3 linked regions of the Arabidopsis thaliana genome follow. The protein of the gene in region 3 interacts with the protein of the main gene of each other region in a pairwise test. Each region holds a gene or a part of one and is shown on either strand. Other genes may lie near its edges.

The links. The genes of interacting proteins can lie anywhere in the genome.
Region 1: the proteins of AT4G14720 (region 3) and NINJA interact in binary tests that used the Arabidopsis thaliana proteins (3 or more experiments, as listed by UniProt).
Region 2: the proteins of AT4G14720 (region 3) and NF-YC9 interact in binary tests that used the Arabidopsis thaliana proteins (3 or more experiments, as listed by UniProt).

The regions. Positions count from the first base shown.
Region 1 is NC_003075.7:14,261,714-14,268,695, forward strand, and holds NINJA (Putative interactor of JAZ), read right to left. Parts: upstream 5,074-6,982; 5' UTR 4,823-5,073; intron 4,432-4,822; exon of another isoform or gene 4,393-4,431; 5' UTR 4,310-4,392; intron 4,045-4,309; 5' UTR 3,968-4,044; coding exon 3,076-3,967; intron 3,003-3,075; coding exon 2,617-3,002; 3' UTR 2,321-2,616; downstream 1-2,320. Other genes in the region: AT4G28920 (hypothetical protein (DUF626)), read right to left, coding at 6,702-6,929. UniProt on the Arabidopsis thaliana protein: Acts as a transcriptional repressor. Negative regulator of jasmonate responses. Connects the JAZ proteins and the non-JAZ protein TIFY8 with the TOPLESS corepressors.
Region 2 is NC_003070.9:2,880,580-2,886,662, forward strand, and holds NF-YC9 (nuclear factor Y, subunit C9), read left to right. Parts: upstream 1-1,911; 5' UTR 1,912-2,107; exon of another isoform or gene 2,108-2,561; 5' UTR 2,562-2,564; coding exon 2,565-3,260; 3' UTR 3,261-3,269; exon of another isoform or gene 3,270-3,451; 3' UTR 3,452-3,763; downstream 3,764-6,083. Other genes in the region: CAX11 (cation exchanger 11), read left to right, coding at 534-1,298; AMI1 (amidase 1), read left to right, coding at 3,876-3,988, 4,070-4,222, 4,355-4,479, 4,571-4,696, 4,772-4,954, 5,035-5,191, 5,261-5,429, 5,520-5,654 and 1 more. UniProt on the Arabidopsis thaliana protein: Stimulates the transcription of various genes by recognizing and binding to a CCAAT motif in promoters. Interacts with REF6 to directly regulate SOC1 transcription in response to flowering signals from photoperiod and gibberellic acid pathways.
Region 3 is NC_003075.7:8,429,484-8,438,307, reverse strand, and holds AT4G14720 (TIFY domain/Divergent CCT motif family protein), read left to right. Parts: upstream 1-3,202; 5' UTR 3,203-3,373; coding exon 3,374-3,491; intron 3,492-3,673; coding exon 3,674-3,813; intron 3,814-3,948; coding exon 3,949-4,127; intron 4,128-4,612; coding exon 4,613-4,703; intron 4,704-4,791; coding exon 4,792-4,888; intron 4,889-5,197; coding exon 5,198-5,257; intron 5,258-5,453; coding exon 5,454-5,517; intron 5,518-5,590; coding exon 5,591-5,825; 3' UTR 5,826-5,848; coding exon of another isoform or gene 5,849-5,856; 3' UTR 5,857-6,335; downstream 6,336-8,824. Other genes in the region: ARD1 (acireductone dioxygenase 1), read left to right, coding at 6,441-6,458, 6,776-6,887, 6,968-7,062, 7,196-7,310, 7,394-7,518, 7,598-7,668, 7,782-7,824; PPD1 (TIFY domain/Divergent CCT motif family protein), read left to right, coding at 8,783-8,824. UniProt on the Arabidopsis thaliana protein: Regulates the arrest of dispersed meristematic cells during lamina development.

The DNA.
Region 1 (6,982 bases), 5.8 Mb from region 3:
GGAAATGATGCAGAAGACTCAGAGTTGAGTGAAAATTCAGAAAATTCAGAAAGTTCAGTGTTCAGTGAAGCTACAACAGAAACAGAAGCTGCTGACAACACTAATGATCAAAGTCATCCTATGATAACAAGGTCTAAATCAGGCATTTTCAAGCCAAATCCCAAATATGCTATGTTTACAGTAAAGAGTAACTACCCTGTACCAAAGACAGTCAAAACAGCTCTTAAAGACCCTGGATGGACTGATGCAATGGGTGAAGAGTATGACTCTTTTGAAGAAACACATACTTGGGATTTGGTTCCACCTGACTCGTTCATTACTCCTTTAGGCTGCAGGTGGGTTTTCAAAACGAAGCTAAAGGCTGATGGAACTCTTGATAGATTAAAGGCTCGTCTTGTTGCTAAGGGCTATGAACAAGAAGAAGGAGTTGATTACATGGAGACTTATAGTCCAGTGGTTCGCACAGCCACAGTGAGAACAATCTTACATGTTGCAACCATTAACAAGTGGGAAATCAAGCAACTTGATGTTAAAAATGCCTTTTTACATGGTGATTTGAAAGAGACTGTGTACATGTACCAACCTCCAGGTTTTGAAAATCAAGACAGACCTGATTATGTGTGCAAGCTCAACAAAGCCATTTATGGTCTTAAACAAGCTCCGAGAGCTTGGTTTGACAAGTTCAGTACTTTTCTCTTGGAGTTTGGTTTCATCTGTACCTATTCAGATCCTTCTCTGTTTGTGTTTCTGAAAGGAAGAGATCTCATGTTCCTCTTGCTCTATATGGACGACATGCTTCTCACAGGCAACAATAGTGAACTGTTGGACACACTGCTTGTCTCTCTGAATAAAGAGTCCGCATGAAAGACATGGGAATGCTGCATTACTTTCTCGGAATTCAGGCTCATTTTCACTGAGAAGGGTTGTTCTTGCATCAAGAGAAATATGCTATGGATCTCCTTGTTGCAGCAGGAATGGCAGATTGTGCCCCAATGCCAACCCCTTTGCCTCTTCAATTGGATAAAGTTCCTGGTCAACAAGAAAGCTTTGCTGATCCTACTTATTTTCGGAGCTTGGCTGGTAAGTTACAATATCTTACTCTTACTCGTCCTGACATTCAATTTGCAGTCAATCTTGTGTGTCAAAAGATGCATTCCCCCACAGTTGCTGATTTCAATCTCCTCAAAAGAGTCTTACGCTATCTCAAAGGAAAAGTTCAAATGGGTCTCAACTTACACAACAACACGGATATCACTTTGCGTGCTTATAGTGATAGTGACTGGGCAAACTGCAAAGAGACTAGAAGATCTGTTGGTGGTTTCTGCACTTTTCTTGGCACTAACATAATCAGTTGGTCTGCAAAACGTCATCCAACAGTCTCAAGGTCCTCAACAGAAGCTGAGTATAGGACCCTCTCTATCGCAGCTACAGAAGTGAAGTGGATCTCATCTTTGCTTCGTGAAATAGGCATCTATCAACCTGCACCACCGGAGTTGTACTGTGACAACCTCTCTGCTGTCTACCTCACTGCAAATCCAGCAATGCACAACCGGTCTAAGGCCTTTGATGTTGATTTTCACTATGTTCGAGAACGTGTTGCCTTGGGAGCTTTGGTTGTCAAACATGTCCCTGCTTCTCATCAACTTGCAGACATCTTCACCAAGTCTCTTCCCCAACGTCCATTCTTTGACTTAAGGTACAAACTTGGCGTTGTTTTACCTCCCACACCAAGTTTGAGGGGGTGTGTGAATCAGAGAGAACCTCCTCTACAATCAGAAGCTTTGCTTTCTGCGAATGGACCTGCAACACTCAACAATACTTTGGGCCTCAGTCAAAGTGTCAAGCCCATCAACCTCAAGTCTTCTCTACCTTGCAACGGTAACAAGATTCCTCAATTTCCAGCGCATCAACGTACGGGATTCACAGCTAATCATTTGTCCCTTCATAACAAATTTGATCCTCTTTGTTCCTCTGTCGTGATGTGCAGCTAATGACGTGTGACCTAGTGTCTCACCATTTTGGGGTTCATATATAAACCCTTCTCTGTCATTGTAAACCTTAAGCTGAAATATTCAATAAAGAGATTTCTCTTCATCATCGTTTTATCAATACTTTCACTATTTTAGTCTTTCAATTACTTCTTTGTTATAGAATTTAACCACAACATTATCAATTTATTAACTATTAAGTAAGAGTTTGACATTATTCTTGCAGGTTTTCTGTACAACCAACCGTATCAATGGTATCAGGTTTTGACATGACATTACATAATTGAAGGTTTTGCTGTCGTTACATAGTAGTCAAAATCAAAGTGAATTATTTTACCAAAATAGTTGTTTAGATTTTAACCAAAGGAACAAAGGACACCGATAATGTTATGGTTATATATAATTTCCTTTCAACCAAAAAACAAAAAGGAAAGAAGAGGATTACATAAGGAATTGTGATGAAGTAGAGAGATTACAACAACATAACAGAAAGCTCAGTTAAAAAACTTTGGCTTGAGAGTTTGATCCGACTAAACATAATAAAATGTATGTTCCAAAAAGAAACTCATTACAAACCCTTCCATTTGTTTACAAGATTTCAGACATCTTTTTTTCCGGTGGTGACTTTTCAGGTGTGAGCTGACGCTGCAGTCATTCCCATGGATGATTCTGGGCTAACGTACTCCTCGCTTGCGTGCCGTACAAACTCCTCCGGTGACATGTGCGAGCCGTGGCAAGCGCATACGATTTTGATCTGGTTTGCGTTGTACCGGTATGTGACACCTGAGATTGTCCGTCCGTGTGGGCCTGAACCAGTGGTTGAGACCCACGGTAAGTTGGGACGTGCCCCGGATCCTCCAAACTTCACATCTGCTGCCATTCCAGGTTTTATGGCAGAAAAGTCGAAAGAGAAAGCGGTATTGAGGTTGCTGTTGTCTCCCGTTGGTCGTTCTGATGCATCCTCGGATGAACCTTCTTCTGCAACAGGTTGTTTGCCTTCGCCTTTTGCAGTAGCTTTTTGGAAGGAAAAGTTACTATTTTTGCTGTAAGAGTACTAAATCGTGTTTTAAGGGAAGGTTTTGCTTACCTGAGTTTGATGGAACTCTTCCAGCAAATGGAGATTGAGAAAGTGCGACAATCCCTCCTGAACCGTCCTTATCTAGCATAGGGAGCTGGACTGGTGAGTATCCGAACATAATCGGGAGATTTCCAGCATTAGCATTAGGCTGCAATAGACTTGTAGCTGCTGCGTGTTGTCCAGACTCTTTTGTCGGTAAAGAGTAAGGCATACTAGTGACGACATTTTGCGGATGAACTGTGAAAGGTACGGTGTAACTCATGTTGCGCATTGTAAACTCTTCAGTGCCAGATCCACCATGGTTGCTCCTCCTTTGACCAGTTAAGTTGTCCACAATGTTTGTATCAGTAGGAGGACGAACCACCTCCTTTGCGTGGTTGGAAGAAGAACCACCACCTACTTCAGACTCTGCTACATCTTCGTTTTCAGCTGTTGATCCTTCATCTGTCGCAGTTGAAACATGGGATGCTTTTGTCTTCTTCTCATGCATATCAACATGAGACGAGTCCTTCTCTTTTTTCTTATCATCATTCATCCCCGGGAACCCGAACTTTCTTTTGTTCCCTGCTTCTTTCCGTGACTCATCCTCCACCCACAAAGGTTTCGTAGAAGCTTCAGCCTCAGTTGTAGGAGCTTTTGAGAGGTCATTGAAGAAATTTTGTGGAGGCTGTTGACCCGAATCACTTCTCTGAGAACCAGAACTCGGCTCTGCAGGTCTTTGAGAAGTTGGATGCAGGAAGTTCTTAAAGTCATCAATCACTTTAGCACTTCTATCGCCTCCTTCTGCCCTGTAGTTCTCTGAGGAGCTTCCAGCATTATTATTATTGTTACCCTTAGCTTTTCCTGTTGATCCTCCACAAGAAAGACCCAAGCTGAGCTCGAGCCCATTATCATCGTCCATTTTTTCTCAAACTTTTTAAGCAAACTCTGAGCAGGTCAACAGATCTTCAGAGCACCGTCAACAATCTTGATTACCATCTGAGAAAAATACATCATGGGCAGAAAAGGACTCATTATCCAAAGCTAACCAATGGTTTCTAGAAAAAAGAATCAAACGCAAAGCTAAGAACTTTGAGAATCATAGATGGCTGCGGAAGTAAACTTCTTCTAAATTTATAAAAAGAAACACATCTGCTTGAACTTGCAACAAACATCACATGCTTTGCCAAAATCAATCCTAGTATTCAGTATAACAAATTAACAAGCTACCAGAACTCTCAGAAACATTGGACTCGGATAGTACCTTAGAAACAAAACCATTGAAAGAAACAATTCAGCAATTCTCCAGAAACTTTCTTCTCGCTCCTACCAAGTACCTTTTGAGTTCTGTGATAACAAAAAAAGACCATTTCTACAACTTAGGTTCTGAAAACCCCCAATATTCATCATTTCCATTTTGAGAAACTAAACTAAAATGGAAACAAAGCAAAGACACACATCACTCACACTTGTATGTCAGCTAACAAAAAAAAAAAAGGAATCAAAATCCAGAAATCAGAGTGAGAGATAGCACAAAGATCTAGTAACTGATAAGACACTATGCAGATCTGTCAGCTAAACGAGCTACATACGAAGAAACAAATCAATTGACTTTCTAAAGATCGAAATCATCAAAAGAATCATAACCTAGACGCGATCAGATTAAAACCCTGACCCCTAACTACACAGCAATAATGCCAAATCAGCTCAAATTAAATCACAATAAGCCGAATAAAGCTAAAACAGAAGCCGAAATCAGAATCGAGAAGATGAAAACCTGATGAAACCGAGGAAGAAGACGAACAAACCCTAGAGCTTCTTCGCAGCGTGGCGGCTCCTAGACAGTTGCATCAGCGATTGGGGCTTCTTCGGGTTCGGACAACTAGTACGGACCATTTCCCTTTTCCCTTCGTAATACTAATAATTATTATTTTATTGTACAATTAGTTTCGATTTCGTCCATGTGTATCTTGTGCATTTTCTTAACTTTTGAATAAATAACAATCGTATAGTCAGCATATATACTACATGTTTGCAATCATGAATATATTTGTACATTGTACATGTCCAATGCATGAATAGAAATACATGGGCCCAATTTTCTTTTTAAAGCCAAACTAGTCCATAACTATTCACATCTACCAACAGATTTTTCATTTCTTTAACAAGTTTTAGAGGAAACACATATGACATATCTTATGCGTTTTTATAAAGATATACTAAAAAGTTGGTCACATAGTATATAATCTATATTTTCTAGTCACCACTTTCTTTAGAATAGTTGGATAAGAGAGACAACATTACAAGATATGCTAAAACGATTTAATTACTCCATATGTGTGTAAATCGTCACTTAATTTAATACTTCAAAATTTCCTTCGAAAAAGACATAGCTAAAGATATGTGGGGATAATATATATATATATATATATAATAGTATCAAAAGCTGTTTGCCAAAAAAAAAAATTCAAAACGATAGGTTTATATATATATATATTTTAGATTGATTCATGATCAATAAAGTCGCTTTGGCCGAGTGGTTAAGGCGTGTGCCTGCTAAGTACATGGGGTTTCCCCGCGAGAGTTCGAATCTCTCAGGCGACGTTATCATTTTATTTTTGATATTTCCAGCTTTTTTTTCTTTGTCAGGCTTTTCCAGTTTTTTTTCCTCCTAAATTGACATGGTTTTATTTTTTTTGTACAAAAAATTGACATGTTTTTTTTTTAATACAAAAATTGACATGTTAAGACTTAAGACTAAAGAGGAAATTGGAAATTGGAAATTTGAATATTATAAAATAAAATTATCTTATGTTGTAAAATTTTAATGGCATGAAAATATGTTACTTATGTAAAAATAAAATAATGAAAACAAACATGGTTAATAATATTGAAAAGCTACAACATGAATAAATATATACTTTGATTGACTCATAAGCAATAAAGTTACATGGTTTTTTTTTTATTATTTCTGATGCTATTATTCATAGTTTTATAAGTTTGAAAAATAAATTAAAAAGGATCATTAACAATTCAAAGGATAAATAGACTTGTTTCTCTCTTTTTAATCGTCATATTAAATACCATAAGATGTCGAATTTTTCAACCTAATGTCTACGTTGATGATGTTGTGGCTATCCACCGTGAGACGGTGAAGAAGACCCCTCACCGTCTCCCACATACAAAATCGCCGCCGCCTATCACATTGTTTCAAAGAAACTCCTCCTCACCGACTTGCTCTCAATAGAAGTGAACTCCCATCTCCCAACCCTAGTCCCAGGAGCCTCCATCATCGTTACCAACAATTCACGATAATACAACTCTAAATATTATTCTCTCAGCTTCAACTTCTCATGAAAATCATATATGTTTTGTTACTCTTCAAAAATCCAAGGAATAAAATGATAGAAAAAAATATATTCTTAGAGCTCTTGGTGATTTCATACTTGTCTTGATTGATATCACAATATTCAGAACAAGTAATCACAAGTAGAAGACAAGCTTTAAAAAGAGGAAGAAGAAGAGACTTGTAGTTATTGCATTGAGAACAAGTAATCACAGATTCACAGTATAGTCGTCATCAAAGGACTTGAAGTCAACCCTACGGTAACTTTTTATTGAGCAGCAGAGGATGAGCATTCCGGTTCAGGTTTACTCTAGGGCGGTTCATCCTCCCCAATTAAATCGCTTGGTATGGCTTGCCAAGAGTCAACTTCTAGACGAATGTGTCCCGGTTTTCCATCCATGGCTTTCCGTACTATTGTTTGGTACTCGACATGCTTACCACTCGGATGATGATCACCACTGCCCTTGAAACCCATGTAGAAGATAGCGTTGTTGGCCTTGAGCTTCAAGTGCGGCGACTCTTCACAGCTCTTCCGAGTCTGTACAATTACATACTTGATCTTTAATGGTAGAAAACTCCTCACCAGCGAGC
Region 2 (6,083 bases), on a different chromosome or scaffold from region 3:
TCTTCTTCACTCATCTTTGAGCTTTGTTTATCGATCATAATGCTGGAATTTTATGGTAGTATCATATTCAGCTACCAATTGTGAACTCCGATATTGTTTAGTTTAGATTATGCGTTTAAAGGTTTTAATTTGCTTCCTGTTTTCTTCTTAGTGTACTCTAAGGTTATGATAAGTCTCTGTGTTAGTCTAGTGAATGAGCATTTTCACTTGCTTAGGCGTTTTCAACTGGATTGTAGCTGTGTTGACAGCTCAGGAGCAATCGTTAGATCGGTTAGCTAGAGAGCTAACATGTTAGAAAGAAGTTGGGCAAAATGAGTTTGAGAGAATTTCGTAGGGTTTAGGATTGGGAACTGGTCAAGACTCGTTAATCAAGTCTCTCTATGATATGTATTCCTTTGGTGAATTCGACTCTAAAGGAGTTTACCTGTTTGGATCTTATCCAGGTTACTATATTTTTTCTGTTAGACTGCATTTAAGTTTGAAATAAGTTTAGTGAAGGTTGTCTGATTCTGCTTTTGCTGCTGTGATTGCAGATCTCGAGGATGTGGGAAACTCCTGTATCAGTTCTTTTGAACCTTACCATCCCAAAACCTTCTCCTTCGGAATGGTCTAGGTTTTATCGCTCTGCCAACATTGTTTTCTGCCCTTTTGCCCTTTTATACACTTGCAACTCTTTTGTACAACTAAACCACCCAATTTCATTCCTCTTTCCAAACACCCATCTCCCGCTTTGGCTTGTTGTCCTCTTCATGACGTCTTCCCTAGCGTTCCTCCACTTCACAGTAGAAAAACAACCACCAAAAACCGAGCAACTGCCGGTCATTGTTGTAGCTTTCATAATGAGTGTTTTCTGGATATCAACAATTGCTGGTGAGCTCCTTAACTGCTTGGCTGCGCTTGGAACCCTCCTTAAACTGCCTCCGGCGCTCCTTGGCCTAACCGTTCTTGCTTGGGGAAACTCGGTTGGTGACCTAGTTGCTGACGTGGCAGTTGCAAAGGCAGGTAGACCAGCAATGGCTATGGCCGGTTGTTTTGCAGGTCCAATGTTTAACATGCTTGTTGGACTTGGATCGGCCTTGGTGATGCAAACAGCTAATGTATATCCAGACGCTTACAAACTTGGATTCCATGTAGGTATTGTGATAGCTTTCGTCTTCTTGTTGCTTAGTCTAATGGGATCTCTGTTGGTAATAACCTGGTCTAGATTCCGAGTTCCGAGATTCTGGGGGATCTGTCTTGTTGGACTGTATGTTGCTTTCACATTTGTTAGTTTGATCATCGCCAGCGTTTCAACCTGATCATATGCGTGAAGTCTGCACATTGAATAATCTAGGGTCAACCAGGGTTCATTGTTTAGGAATTTTTGTTGTCTAGAAGGGAATTGCCAAAATTTTGAGCTCAGCTGATGGCCACCGCCAGACCAGTAATCTTCGAATCCCACAAAAAGTTCTTGTGATCGTCCGAGCCAGATTAGTAAAGTTTGGTAGATAGGTGATGGTAAAATATATGTGCTTTGGGAGAAGATTTTGACTCCCCCATCTGGTTTACTTTTCCATTGATTGTACTGGTCTTGTTTTTTTGGGTCTGTTATATATGTATAAACCACACATTTGTATTCTTTTGATATTAATGAGAAATACTTCATTGATCCTAGAATGTGTATTAGAGCAGAACAAAATGTTGATTCTGGTTCTTTTTTATGTGATTTGATTCTCTGTGAATGCCAAATATGTTGTGATACAACAAAACTACTTGTGAAATTTGAACCTCCAAAGAAGATAATTAAAGGTTGCCAATTAAATCCTAAGAAGATAATAAAAATGAATTAATTAATGTAAGAGATAAAACAAATCATGATCTGACAAGAGCAGAAGAATCTTGACATAAGCCCAATGGTTGACACGACACCCAGCTTTTAAAGCTCTTTCCACTTACTTCCCCTTGTCTTTCTAAATTCCTCCTCATTGTTAAAGTCGAAAAAAGGGTAAAGCAGCAAAACCCTAATAAAATCACAACAAATTAACACAAAAAAACCAGATCTTAAAACTCTCTCTACCCACCAAGAGGATCAACCAGTCTCTTCCCCTTCAGATTCTCCTTTCCACAGGTCACTCTCGTTTGCAGATTCTTTTTTTCAATTTGACTTGTTCTTACTTATATATTGTGGAATTCACATGATAAAATAATATGCTTGGTGTTGTAGGAACAATTCTAGTTGTTCTGTGTTAGCAGATTCTTTGTTCTGTCTATTTTGAAGGAAATTAAAGGCAATCCCTTTCGATATTTTCCTGTTTTCCTTATCAAATTTATGGGTTGGAATAAGTAGGTTGATGTATTGTCTTTTAATTCGAAGCTCAATTTTCATACTTATTGCTGTTTAGATCTTCAAGGTTAATCTAGAATTACAGATTAGACCATATATAAAGTAAATTCAGCAGATTCTTATTTATGTAAATTGTTTGTTAGCAACCTTATCTCCTTCACATTTCTTTAAAATTCTGGTCAGATGTTTCTTAAGAGCTTAGAATGAATCCCAAAGTTCTGTTTTTTTATTCTGGTAGTGAATGGATCAACAAGACCATGGACAGTCTGGAGCTATGAACTATGGCACAAACCCATACCAAACCAACCCGATGAGCACCACTGCTGCTACTGTAGCAGGAGGTGCGGCACAACCAGGCCAGCTGGCGTTCCACCAGATCCATCAGCAGCAGCAGCAGCAACAGCTGGCACAGCAGCTTCAAGCATTTTGGGAGAACCAATTCAAAGAGATTGAGAAGACTACCGATTTCAAGAACCACAGCCTTCCCCTTGCGAGAATCAAGAAAATCATGAAAGCGGATGAAGATGTCCGTATGATCTCGGCTGAGGCGCCTGTCGTGTTTGCAAGGGCCTGTGAGATGTTCATCCTGGAGCTGACACTCAGGTCGTGGAACCACACTGAGGAGAATAAGAGGCGGACGTTGCAGAAGAACGATATTGCTGCTGCTGTGACTAGAACCGATATTTTTGATTTCCTTGTGGATATTGTTCCCCGGGAGGATCTCCGAGATGAAGTCTTGGGAAGTATTCCGAGGGGCACTGTCCCGGAAGCTGCTGCTGCTGGTTACCCGTATGGATACTTGCCTGCAGGAACTGCTCCAATAGGAAATCCGGGAATGGTTATGGGTAATCCCGGTGGTGCGTATCCACCTAATCCTTATATGGGTCAACCAATGTGGCAACAACAGGCACCTGACCAACCTGACCAGGAAAATTAGCAAGAAACTGTGAGTCTTCCAGCTTCTTTTAGGCCTACCTTGTAGTCTTGGGGTTTTGTTTCTGTTTTCGAATAATGGTAACCTTTGTATAACTTATTTCAGTATCGTCTCAGTTTGGTACTATGTCAGTTTTGGTATTCTTATCTTATTGAAGTAAAAATGTGATAGTGTATTCGCTTTTCTCCCTGCAGCGTTCTAGTCTCGTCCAGGTGAAAGGAGGGAGACCTTAGACAAGAAAATGAAAAGAACATATCAGAATTGTCAAATTGGGTGTTGTAGAAGAATCTAAAGTGTTTATGTCTATCGATCCTTTTCTAAACGAGAAATTTAGGGATGAACCAGAAAGAAGAATGTATAAACTGTAAGAAACAAGTGTGCTTTTGACAAAAGTTTTTTTATTTGAATGTTAATTTCTGTGTCTTTATCACACATATTAAGTTATTATCCACAAAATGTATCTCATTGGATATTTAAAACAAAAGGACAATAATATTAAGGAAAAGACAAAATAGAAAATGACTTGGCCACTGTAGCCGCGTTAATAATGTGATAGCTTTTATCTACAAGAAGCGTTACTTGGTCGTCATCTACCTTCTCAGAAAGGGAGCTGCATCAATGGCGACCAATAATGATTTTGGAGCTTTCATTGAGAAAGTTACAATCTCTCCAACTTCTACTTCCTCGTCGCCTCCTTCTCTACAGGGTCTTACTTTCGCCATTAAAGACATGTAAGATATCCAACTACTTACAGAGTTTCTTCTATACTTTCTTGTCAATCAATTTTTGAGCTTATTGCTTGGTTTGATCAGTTTTGATGTGGAAGGACGCGTTACCGGTTTTGGTAACCCGGATTGGTTAAGGACACACTCGGCAGCTACTTCTACAGCTCCAGTAGTTTCATCTCTCTTAGAAGCTGGTGCCACAGCTTTGGGTATTACCATTATGGATGAAATGGCTTACAGGTTCAATTTCACATCTTTTCTGGTTTAGGAGTTCATGTTTTAAGAAACAGGATATGTCATAACAGAGGCTAGAACTAAAATATGACTAGGTTTGTTACGTTTTTTCTGAGCATGTTCTTACTTAATATGCAGTATAAACGGAGAAAATGCGCATTATGGGACTCCGAGAAACCCGATTGCTTTCGATAGAGTGCCTGGGGGATCATCGAGTGGCTCAGCCGTAGCTGTAGCTGCTCGTCTTGTGGATTTTTCTATTGGTGAGCTGAAGAAAAATTGCCAAAAGTTGTAACCATACTACTGATCATAAAGTATTTTTCTTCCCTGTCTAATTGGTTTTTGATCAATCAGGAACTGATACCGGAGGGAGTGTACGAGTTCCAGCATCTTACTGTGGGATTTTCGGTTTCCGGCCATCCCACGGTGCAGTTTCCACTGTCGGACTTACTCCAATGGCTCAGAGCTTCGACACAGTTGGTAACGAAAACTAAAATCCGAGATGTTAATGGTTAAACTGAATCTTGATATTGATGGATCCAACATTGTCTTTAGGATGGTTTGCTCGGGACACAGCCACTTTGAAACGTGTAGGTTGCGTTCTCCTGCAGCAGCATCACTTGAACCCCATCGAACCATCTCAACTGATTATCGCGGATGACTGCTTCAAGCTGTGTAGTGTACCGCATGATCTCTTGGTGCAGCCTCTGGTTGGATCCGTGGAAAAATCGTTTGGAGGTAAAAAGCATCACAAGAACTTGTTGTCAGAGATTATTCCTTGATGATTTTGTTACTTAATGATTTTGTTCTGTATCAAGGCAACACTGTAGTAAAGAAGGTGAATCTTGGAGAGTACATTGGACAGAATGTTCCAAGCCTTAAACATTTCATGACAAGTGACGATGTCACTACACAACAAGAGTTCTGCATTCCGTCTCTCATGGCCCTATCGAGTTCAATGAGATTGTTACAAAGGTACAACATTTTTCTCATTTTACATTCTATCGATTTCTAATATATTACATAGGCATAACCAAAGTTTAGACATGAATTCAAGATAAACCACGGTGCATGGATCTCGTCGGTGAAGCCAGAGTTTGGTCCTGGAATATCAGAACGAATTGAGGAAGCTATCAGAACATCCGACGAGAAGATCGACCATTGCCGGTCCGTGAAATCTGAACTGATAACGGCTCTTTCAACTTTGCTCGGGGTACAACTAACTTATTCCTTTTTCTCCAAATTTCAGTTTGAAACACTTACCAGTAGACCGGTTTTATGTAAATCATACCAAATTTTGTAGGAGAAGGGTGTGTTGGTGATTCCAACGGTACCAGGTCCTCCACCGCATCTCCAAGCTAATGTGGCTGCACTTGAATCTTTCCGCAGCAGAGCCTTCAGCTTGTTGTCGATCGCAGGCGTTTCTGGATTCTGTCAGGTAATAACAACATCAATCTTCCTTCTTGTGGAGTCTGTTAAGAACTGGTCTGATCTTCCGGTGTTTTTTTCCCATGATAGGTGAGCATACCATTGGGGCTACACGAAAATCTTCCGGTTTCGGTATCATTGGTAGCTAAGTATGGCTCAGACGGTTTTCTTCTGAGTCTTGTGGATTCCCTTGCTGCATTTATTTGATTGACATGTCATAAACTTAATGCACTTTGAGCATATCTATTTTGCTTTCTGTTTATTATGTCATCGTAGCATATCTGAATGGTTTTCTTGTCCCAAACCCAACAATGTATTAAATAAATTGTTGTATATGTTGGACAATTGTACTATTTGTCTTTTAGCGAAGTATTAATGACAACTTAATATTAACTAGATTTCTTGTTCTTAATAGTGATTTTTAAAGTTCAAAATATTA
Region 3 (8,824 bases):
TGTTTTATGCTTTATATCGGACTTCTATCACTTATTTTGAGACAATCCATATCAATAAAAAAGATTTGCCCACAAAAGACAGCATATACGGTTGGGTTGTTCTGCGGTCGTCCAATTGTAGTCACCATCAGATAGTTCAAATCGCAAGAACCACAAAACAAAGATGAGGCCCAAGAAAAAGACTGACTGATATGATTTAAATGGGCCTATGAAAAGAATAGGCCCATTAAAGGATGGTAAAAGTGTCCCTACAAAGGGGGAAACAGGTCCTGACTCACTGACTCATCCTCTGTACCCGACCCACGCACTCGCGACCCCTCTCCCTGCACAAACATAACCTGTACGGTTCTTCAATCACTATTCATATTTTTTTATTTAAATACCATTTTTTTCCTTATAATATAGTAGTTTTCATGTTCATTACTCGATTATCTTTGCATTTACAAAAAAATAGATATTACACATAGTTTCAAAGAACAAAAAAAAGTCAAATTTACACTAACTAGCTTTAGTCCTTAGTTTAGATATATATATCTAAAAAGCTAATAATTTAGACGAGTAATTTAATTAATTCGACTAGATATTATTTGTCTAGTGGTTTATCTACTTTTGTGTAATAATCCAAATTTTAAATTTTGGATGTGGATGAATGAGTTTTGTAGACAATATATATATTTTTATATAAATCTGAAAGAGAGATGTTAGAACGATAAGAGACCATCACATTTGTTAGGATACAGCAATATGAATTGCAATCTTTACTTCGCCTTAATAGCAAGATCTTGAGCTCGATCAATTAATCACTTTCGACTCGACAACACATATTGAGAAAACCAAACAAGAAAATATATATTAGAGAACATAAATTGACATATATAGTGTTCACCAACCAAAATGGTGAACTACTTCAAGTTAGCCTCACAAGATTGTTGTAATCGATGGAAGTTTACAAGTTTAGTTGTTCTGATCATCTTATTAAACCAGTAATCCGACTAACAATTGGCTAGTAGTTCACCTATATGTTATATTCCAAAACCTCTCATATTCATGGTCAATTACAAAATCACAATATTGTTTTTTTTTAAAGCACATCATAATAAAGTCAACAATATATAATTTAAAAACCTTTAAGAAAAAAATAAATTTGGGTAGGGTTTGGTGAGTGGTGTCGATAGAAATGGCGGATGCATCCTTTAGATTAAAGGTATGGTACCAACTTGGATCCATTTCTTCGATAACGACTCTTCCTATTTCCACTCTGTTTTTTTTTTGTTTCCCTCTTCTTTATCTCATATCTTCCACTACTCTCAATAGTCAATTCTATATCCCAATTTTTATGTTAAGTTTTTACGATTTACAAGTTATTGGCAAATTGAAAATTGCTGTCAACTTGCTAGAGGGTATTGTAACAGTACTACCAAATATGAGGTCGAGTCTTAAGTGCTATATATGGAGAGAGATGATTTACGTTTGTGGAATCGCAATAAGTATATATTATCAAATGCTAGTCCATGGACATAAAACTATGAGCCAAAAATTAGAAATTTCTGGTTAACAATAACAATAAAGAAAAAAAAAATGGTATATGCATATACAGTATAAGGTAGATAGTTTTGATTTTTGAAGACCATTGATTAATATTATATATTTCAATATCAATTGTTGGTAAGTTATAAAAACCTTCAAACGAGAGTGAATTAACTTCAAAGTCACAAAGTTCGACTTTCGATGTTAAAAAAAATAAAATGTTTACACGTTCCATTCTCTTGTTCAAAAAAATTATGGATCAGTATTCCAAATTTCATAGTAATCTAAAAAGAAAAAGTTGCATTAATATGGTTTGCTTATCTAATCATTTTTCGGGACATCACCGTATGTATGGATGACGAAACTATATTTTAAAAAGAAGTTTTCAACTGTTCGTTTATTCATGCATGTATATCTTGACAATTACGACATTGGATGAATTGAGTGATGAATCCTTATCGTACATCACGAGTATAATTACATGTATCATGCATTGTTATCAATTATCACTTTATATATTGGATAATGAGAAGGGATGTCACGCAAGACCAAGCAAGGTTTAAGGGAGAATCGATATTGGTCAGACTCATGTGAAAATATATTTCTCCTCCTTCGTCTTGTCAATTTATTACTCTATCTCTTGTATTTTTCAATTGTTTTGGTATTCACTTCAGAAAATGACTAGTCTTCGTTTTTATGTGTTGAGCCATTTTCATTTACATGCATCTAAATGATCTACTGAATATGGATATCGAAGAGATTTTTTAGTATAATGGTTTGTGCTAGATCCTTTAACAAAAAAGTAAATGGTTTGTGCTAGTGTTTTTGTTGTATTGCTAATTTGCTATCCAATTCATAGCACACATGTTGTTGCCAAACAAATGCTAAATCCATTTTAAAAGTATCAACTAGTAAATTAGCTTAACAAATTTTTTGTTAACATGTTTATGAGATGTTTTTTTAAGAAAAAAAAAACTCATTTAACATGATTACATTTAGGGTTTGATTGGTTGTTTTAAACTGAAAATTGTCTGTTTGCAAAAATGTTTGGAATGATTATCTTTTTGCAAAAATTGCGTGACATGTTGAAGTGTTGCAATGCTGGAGGTTCTGCTAACTAACAAGTAATAATCGTATAAGTGACATGATCTTCCATTTTTTAGAGATACTAACCAAGAATTGTAAAACCAGGAAAAAAACACTAACCAAGAATTGATGATTGTCCATCTAGACTAAAGTAGTATACAAACAAAACACAAAAGATATTTTGTTCTATTTTTGGAATAACTCTTATCCATTTATAGAAATAATTAGTTGTTTAATCAAAATATCACATGCAAATTGATCGTATGCGATTTTAGATAAATTGACATCCACTCAGTAATAAACAAACAAGATACTCTCTGATTACAAAATAATCTCTGTTTTCTTTCGTGTCATTTTTCTTTATCACTCATGCTATTATTATATTTAAATTTAATATAAAACTGTTACCATTTACTATTTTATTTCACTGTTTGACGCGAAAAAAATAATCAGCATAAGATTTACCCAAAAAATAAAAAATAATTGGGATACTTAAGCAATGCATGATTAGGCTATAATCTAGAGAGACTAATAGGATGCTTACGTGGCAGTCTAGGGAGCTTCGCTGCTCCAAAAACCATTCCCCTAAAATTGAAGCCCATAGACTATTAGCGACTTCACTCTTTCTCTTTCTTTCTCTCTCTCTCTCTCTCTCGCTCTTCTAATTTTGCCCTCAAAACCCTCCAATTATTACGAAAACGCCACTGCTCTCTCGTCGGGACTCCGGTGAGGCCGTTTTGGCCGGAATCTGACAAGGGATATGGATGTAGGAGTTACTACGGCGAAGTCTATACTTGAGAAGCCTCTGAAGCTTCTCACTGAAGAAGACATTTCTCAGCTTACTCGCGAAGATTGCCGCAAATTCCTCAAAGAGAAAGGTTTCTTCTTCTTCCTTTCTCCATTTTTTTCCGGTCTTATTGTCTTCGACGGTAGGATCTTCCTCACGGATTTTGCTGAGAAGAATCGTACATAGTCAATTTTTTGAAATTCTCTATTCTTCTTCTCTCCGAGCTTTTTTTTTCGCTCTCTGGAGAATGGCGGCTGACACGTGTCGAAACAGGAATGCGCAGGCCTTCGTGGAATAAATCTCAGGCGATCCAGCAAGTTTTATCTCTTAAAGCTCTCTATGAACCTGGAGATGATTCCGGCGCCGGAATCCTCCGCAAGATCCTTGTTTCTCAGCCGCCAAATCCGCCTCGCGTGAGTGTTGTTCTTCGATTTTGTTTCGATTTACAGAGAAAAATCTAAGTTCTGAAGTAGTAGAGAATCGTTTACTTGGTTGGTGCTGATTTAGGGAAAATTGTTGTTCTGTGTGTACTGCTGTTTTGTTCACAGGTTACAACAACGTTGATTGAGCCAAGGAACGAGCTCGAAGCTTGTGGAAGGATTCCTTTACAGGAAGATGATGGTGCGTGCCATAGAAGGGATTCTCCAAGATCAGCTGAGTTTTCTGGTAGTTCTGGTCAGTTTGTTGCGGATAAAGATAGCCACAAGACTGTTTCTGTTTCCCCCAGGTTTACATTTTCTTCTATAGCGTTTTGACTTTGTGTGGTATCTTTCTTCTGCTTTCATGCCTCAAGAAGAGAACTGATGCATTGTGACATTCTGTTTGTGATCTTAGAATAAGTACTTGGTTTGATATCAGTGTCTTAGACATTGAAAAGTTTCTATATGAATCATGGTTTTGATGGTGGATTGGTCACACAGAATTTAGGTTAAAAGAGTCAGATAGATCTTCTTGGTTCTGTGTTACTCTTTACTCTTCTGTTTTGAGGATTGGTATGATGTGATGTGATTATTGCTAGTGAACGATAAATCAGTTACTTAGTCCATTAGTCTATATGATTTGTGAATTCTGCAATTACTAACAAGAGTTTTAGGGGTAGTTCATGTACAAAGTCTTATTGATATTAGGTGCATGTTGTTTTATAAACAAATTACTACTCCAATGTTATTTAATTAAGTTGTTTAAACACGCTTTTTTGTAATGTTGCATCAGAAGCCCAGCTGAAACAAATGCGGTGGTTGGGCAAATGACGATATTTTATAGTGGCAAAGTGAATGTATATGATGGAGTACCACCTGAAAAGGTAAATGAATCACATAATTCTGTCCAGCCTGAAAATATAAATTTTGATGGTATGGTTTTGATCATTCATCTTGTGTATTGATTTGCAGGCCCGGTCTATCATGCATTTTGCAGCCAATCCAATTGATTTGCCTGAAAATGGTATTTTTGCTTCTAGTAGAATGATTTCGAAACCCATGAGTAAAGGTAAGCATTTGCTAAAGTGTCTGATCTGCTTTTCAGTTGAAAGATTGATGATTCAGACTTGAAATGAGTTTTTTTTTTAATGTATAATCTAACTTGAAAAAATGACTAGAGCTGCTGCATCTCAAGATGAGTCTTTCTTTCTTTCTTATGTCAAACACGGCCTTTCATTTTGTCCAATTTTGAAAGGAGGCATTGTTAAATTACCAAAGAAGCATGTCTAAATGCTGTAATTGCTGCTACCTCTACTAGCTTATGTGTCTACAGATGCCTCGTGCCCCTTTTTTTGAAATTGTGATTTGATTTTTTCAGAGAAGATGGTGGAGCTTCCCCAATATGGACTTGAAAAGGCACCTGCTTCTCGTGATTCTGGTACAAACAGTACTCATTTTACCTTAAAGATATGAAATCCTATTATTCAATGATGCTTTAAAACACCTGAGAGCGAAATTTGGTCCACCTCTTCACCTCTACATGCTACGCTAAACTACTTGCTTGTTCTGCATGATATACGACCATGAAATTCTGTTAATTTAACTATTGTTCTTTTTGTTGGTCTTTTCTGAAGATGTTGAGGGTCAGGCGAACAGAAAAGTATCGTTGCAAAGATATCTTGAAAAGCGGAAAGACAGGTAGTTGTTGCTATTATGCTGTGTGCTTGCTTATTCCAAATCGATGAATACTGATACCTTTCTTTCTGAGCAGAAGATTTTCTAAGACCAAGAAGGCTCCAGGAGTTGCGTCCTCTAGCTTGGAGATGTTTCTGAATCGTCAGCCACGGATGAACGCTGCATATTCACAAAACCTTAGTGGCACAGGGCATTGCGAGTCACCTGAAAATCAAACAAAAAGTCCCAATATCTCAGTTGATCTAAACAGTGATCTAAACAGCGAAGGTATGAACAAGCATTTGTCAAATGGTTCCAATGATCTCCCTTAAAACTCTCATTCGCTTTTTTATAGATAATTAACAAGGTGCCAAAAGAACTGGAGATGGTACTACGGGTCAAAAGGCGGGAAGAACAATTTCATGTTCTTATAACATGTTAGCCATGTACAAAAAGAAAGAAAGCAAACAATGAATGTTCTCGTTCATTGTGGAAGAAACATGGGTTAAAGATTTGAGCTGGATCAGTGCGGGTCTTGTATGGTTTTGTTTTTTTTACGGGTTGCGTCCATCTTTTTTGGTCTGTAGTTTTGAGTAGGTTAGAGAGACGCGAGAGAGAGAGAGAGGATGTGGCGGTTTGTATTATGTAAATGCTTGTCTTATAATGAGAGAGACCTTATTGATGATACCAATCTTTGAGGTCCAAGTAACACAACTTCTTTGTGATTGATATGTATGAGATAATTAATTTGTCTATTTTCATGGCATGATGTATGTGATATGTCTGAGATTTGCAACATTCTTCTATAAAGTTGAGAAATAAGGGTAGTTTAGTCTTTTTAACCAAAGATTTTTATTTATTTGATCTTTTCCCTGTTTTAAAAAGAAGAATCGAGTAATCGGGTGGTTTTGAAGACGAAGAAGGACTAAGACATCACGAGGAACACGATGGGTGAAGCGGTCAAGGTATGTTTTTATCTTTGTCTCCTCTGCTTCTGATCTGTTAATGCCAATCGATAATTCCTAGTTTTGCGATGCAAGCATGAATCGTCGATTGTTATCTGAGTGATTTGATTCATTTTCGACGATTTTCGAATCATCATAACTACTTCTTTTGCTCAAATCTCGCAGTCAGTTTAATGCCTATTCGTATTCAATTTAGTTATGCAATTGACGATTTCTCGAATTGTCTGAAGTTTTGAAGCTAAAATCAGATTAAATATAAAATATCTGAACATTGCCTCCCAAGGAATCTAATCCCATCTTGATGTGCTTTTGCTTAGGATGGGAGAGAAGAAGTGATTCAAGCTTGGTATATGGATGATAGTGAAGAGGATCAGAGACTTCCTCACCACAAGGATCCTAAAGAGTTTGTATCGTTGGACAAACTTGCAGGTCCCCCTCTTTGTGTGTTTCAATTCAATGTTGTTCTCTCTGCTTCTCTATTTTGTTTCACATGTAATGTTTGTGTGCAGAGCTGGGAGTACTTAGCTGGAGACTTGATGCTGATAACTATGAAACCGATGAGGATTTGAAAAAGATCCGTGAATCTCGTGGTTACTCTTACATGGTTTGTGGTCTTTATTTATTTACTATCCCACTAGACTTGAATGGTAGATGTTTATTTTTGTCCAAGTCTTATTTTAACTCTCTAGGGGTTTTCTCAATCTTGGTTTGATGATTAAAAAGTGTTCAAAATGCAGGACTTTTGTGAGGTATGCCCGGAAAAGCTTCCAAACTATGAAGTGAAAGTGAAGAGCTTTTTCGAAGAACATTTACACACTGATGAGGAGATCCGTTACTGCGTTGCAGGAACTGGTAAGAACTTCTTTTACTGGCGGCTTTACTCGTAAACTTAAAATTTCGATATAGTAGTCATGTTTTATTTTCTTGGGAAAAAGGTTACTTTGATGTGAGAGATCGTAATGAAGCTTGGATTAGGGTATTGGTAAAGAAGGGAGGTATGATAGTCTTACCTGCTGGGATCTATCATCGCTTCACTGTGGACTCTGACAACTATATCAAGGTGCAATGTCAGCTTTTCTTCTAGCCATTTATTTTATAGTTTGGGCTTGCTTAGAAAATTGAAATATCTTGTTGAACAGGCAATGCGGCTATTCGTGGGTGAACCGGTATGGACACCATACAATCGCCCACACGACCATCTTCCTGCAAGGTACAATGTCCTGGGTTTTCCCCTTTTGTTTGTTCTCTTATGCAAACAATGGGATATATAATCAAGCAAGAAATTCTGTTATTTTACGAGAAATAAATTCTGATATTTTACAGGAAAGAATATGTCGATAACTTCATGATCAATGCCTCGGCTTAGAGAGCTTCCTCTCTCTATATCTGGCTTTCTGAAACAAGGATCTATAAACAAGGCCTACAATAAAGAAAGCTTTCCTGTCAAGTATTGGATATTTATATGTATTCCTGTGTAGAATGATGGCTTTTGGTATGCTTGAGTTGTTGTAAACTTAGTTACACTCTCTGATATGTCTCTCTTTACCATCTTTGTCGTATCCCATATACGAAAAGATTACATTGGGATTCATATTGTCTTACGTTCGTTCCTATGTGCAATATGTTGAGTTTTTACACAAATCTCTATTCTTTTTTATTTGCTTTTCAAAAACCAACAAATTAGAAGAAACTAATAAGAAGTAATACGTCCAACCGCGTCAACTTCTTTGGTTTAATCTAAACCATGGTTCGTTTGGTTGTTGTTGTGTATCTTAACATGCTGACGGTTTTAAGGATGGTTCGTTTGGTGGTTGTTGTTATCGAACATGTTCACGGTTCTAAGGAAGAAAAGTGTGGTTTTGTGTATTTGTGGTTGGACATAAGATTTTCGTTTTCGTTTACATTTGTGGCTTTCTTTTGTAATTTCCTTTTAGAGTTTGGAATCTCCTTAAATCCGACCTACATTAACTCTATAGTCTATAGAATTGGAGTAATCATTTTATTCTCCTATCTTAATGGATTACAATAAACAGTAGTTGAATGGAAGAAAAAGGGGATATAAAAGTAAACTTAGCAAGTTTAGCAGCCATGATTAGGCTTATAATAATTTATGTAGACGTGGAGCTTACGTGGCAGTCTAGGGAGTTTCCCTGCTCCGGGAACAATTCCCCCAAATTGACTCCCCCATAGGAAAAACTATTCGACCTCACTCTCTCTCGCCACTGTTCCGCTCTCTCTCATTCTTCCTAATTTTACCCCCAAAACCTCCGATTATTACTGAAACGCCACTGCTCTCTCGCCGGGATTCCGGTGAAGAGGAGGAGATGGATGTCGGAGTTTCACCGGCGAAGTCTATACTTGCGAAA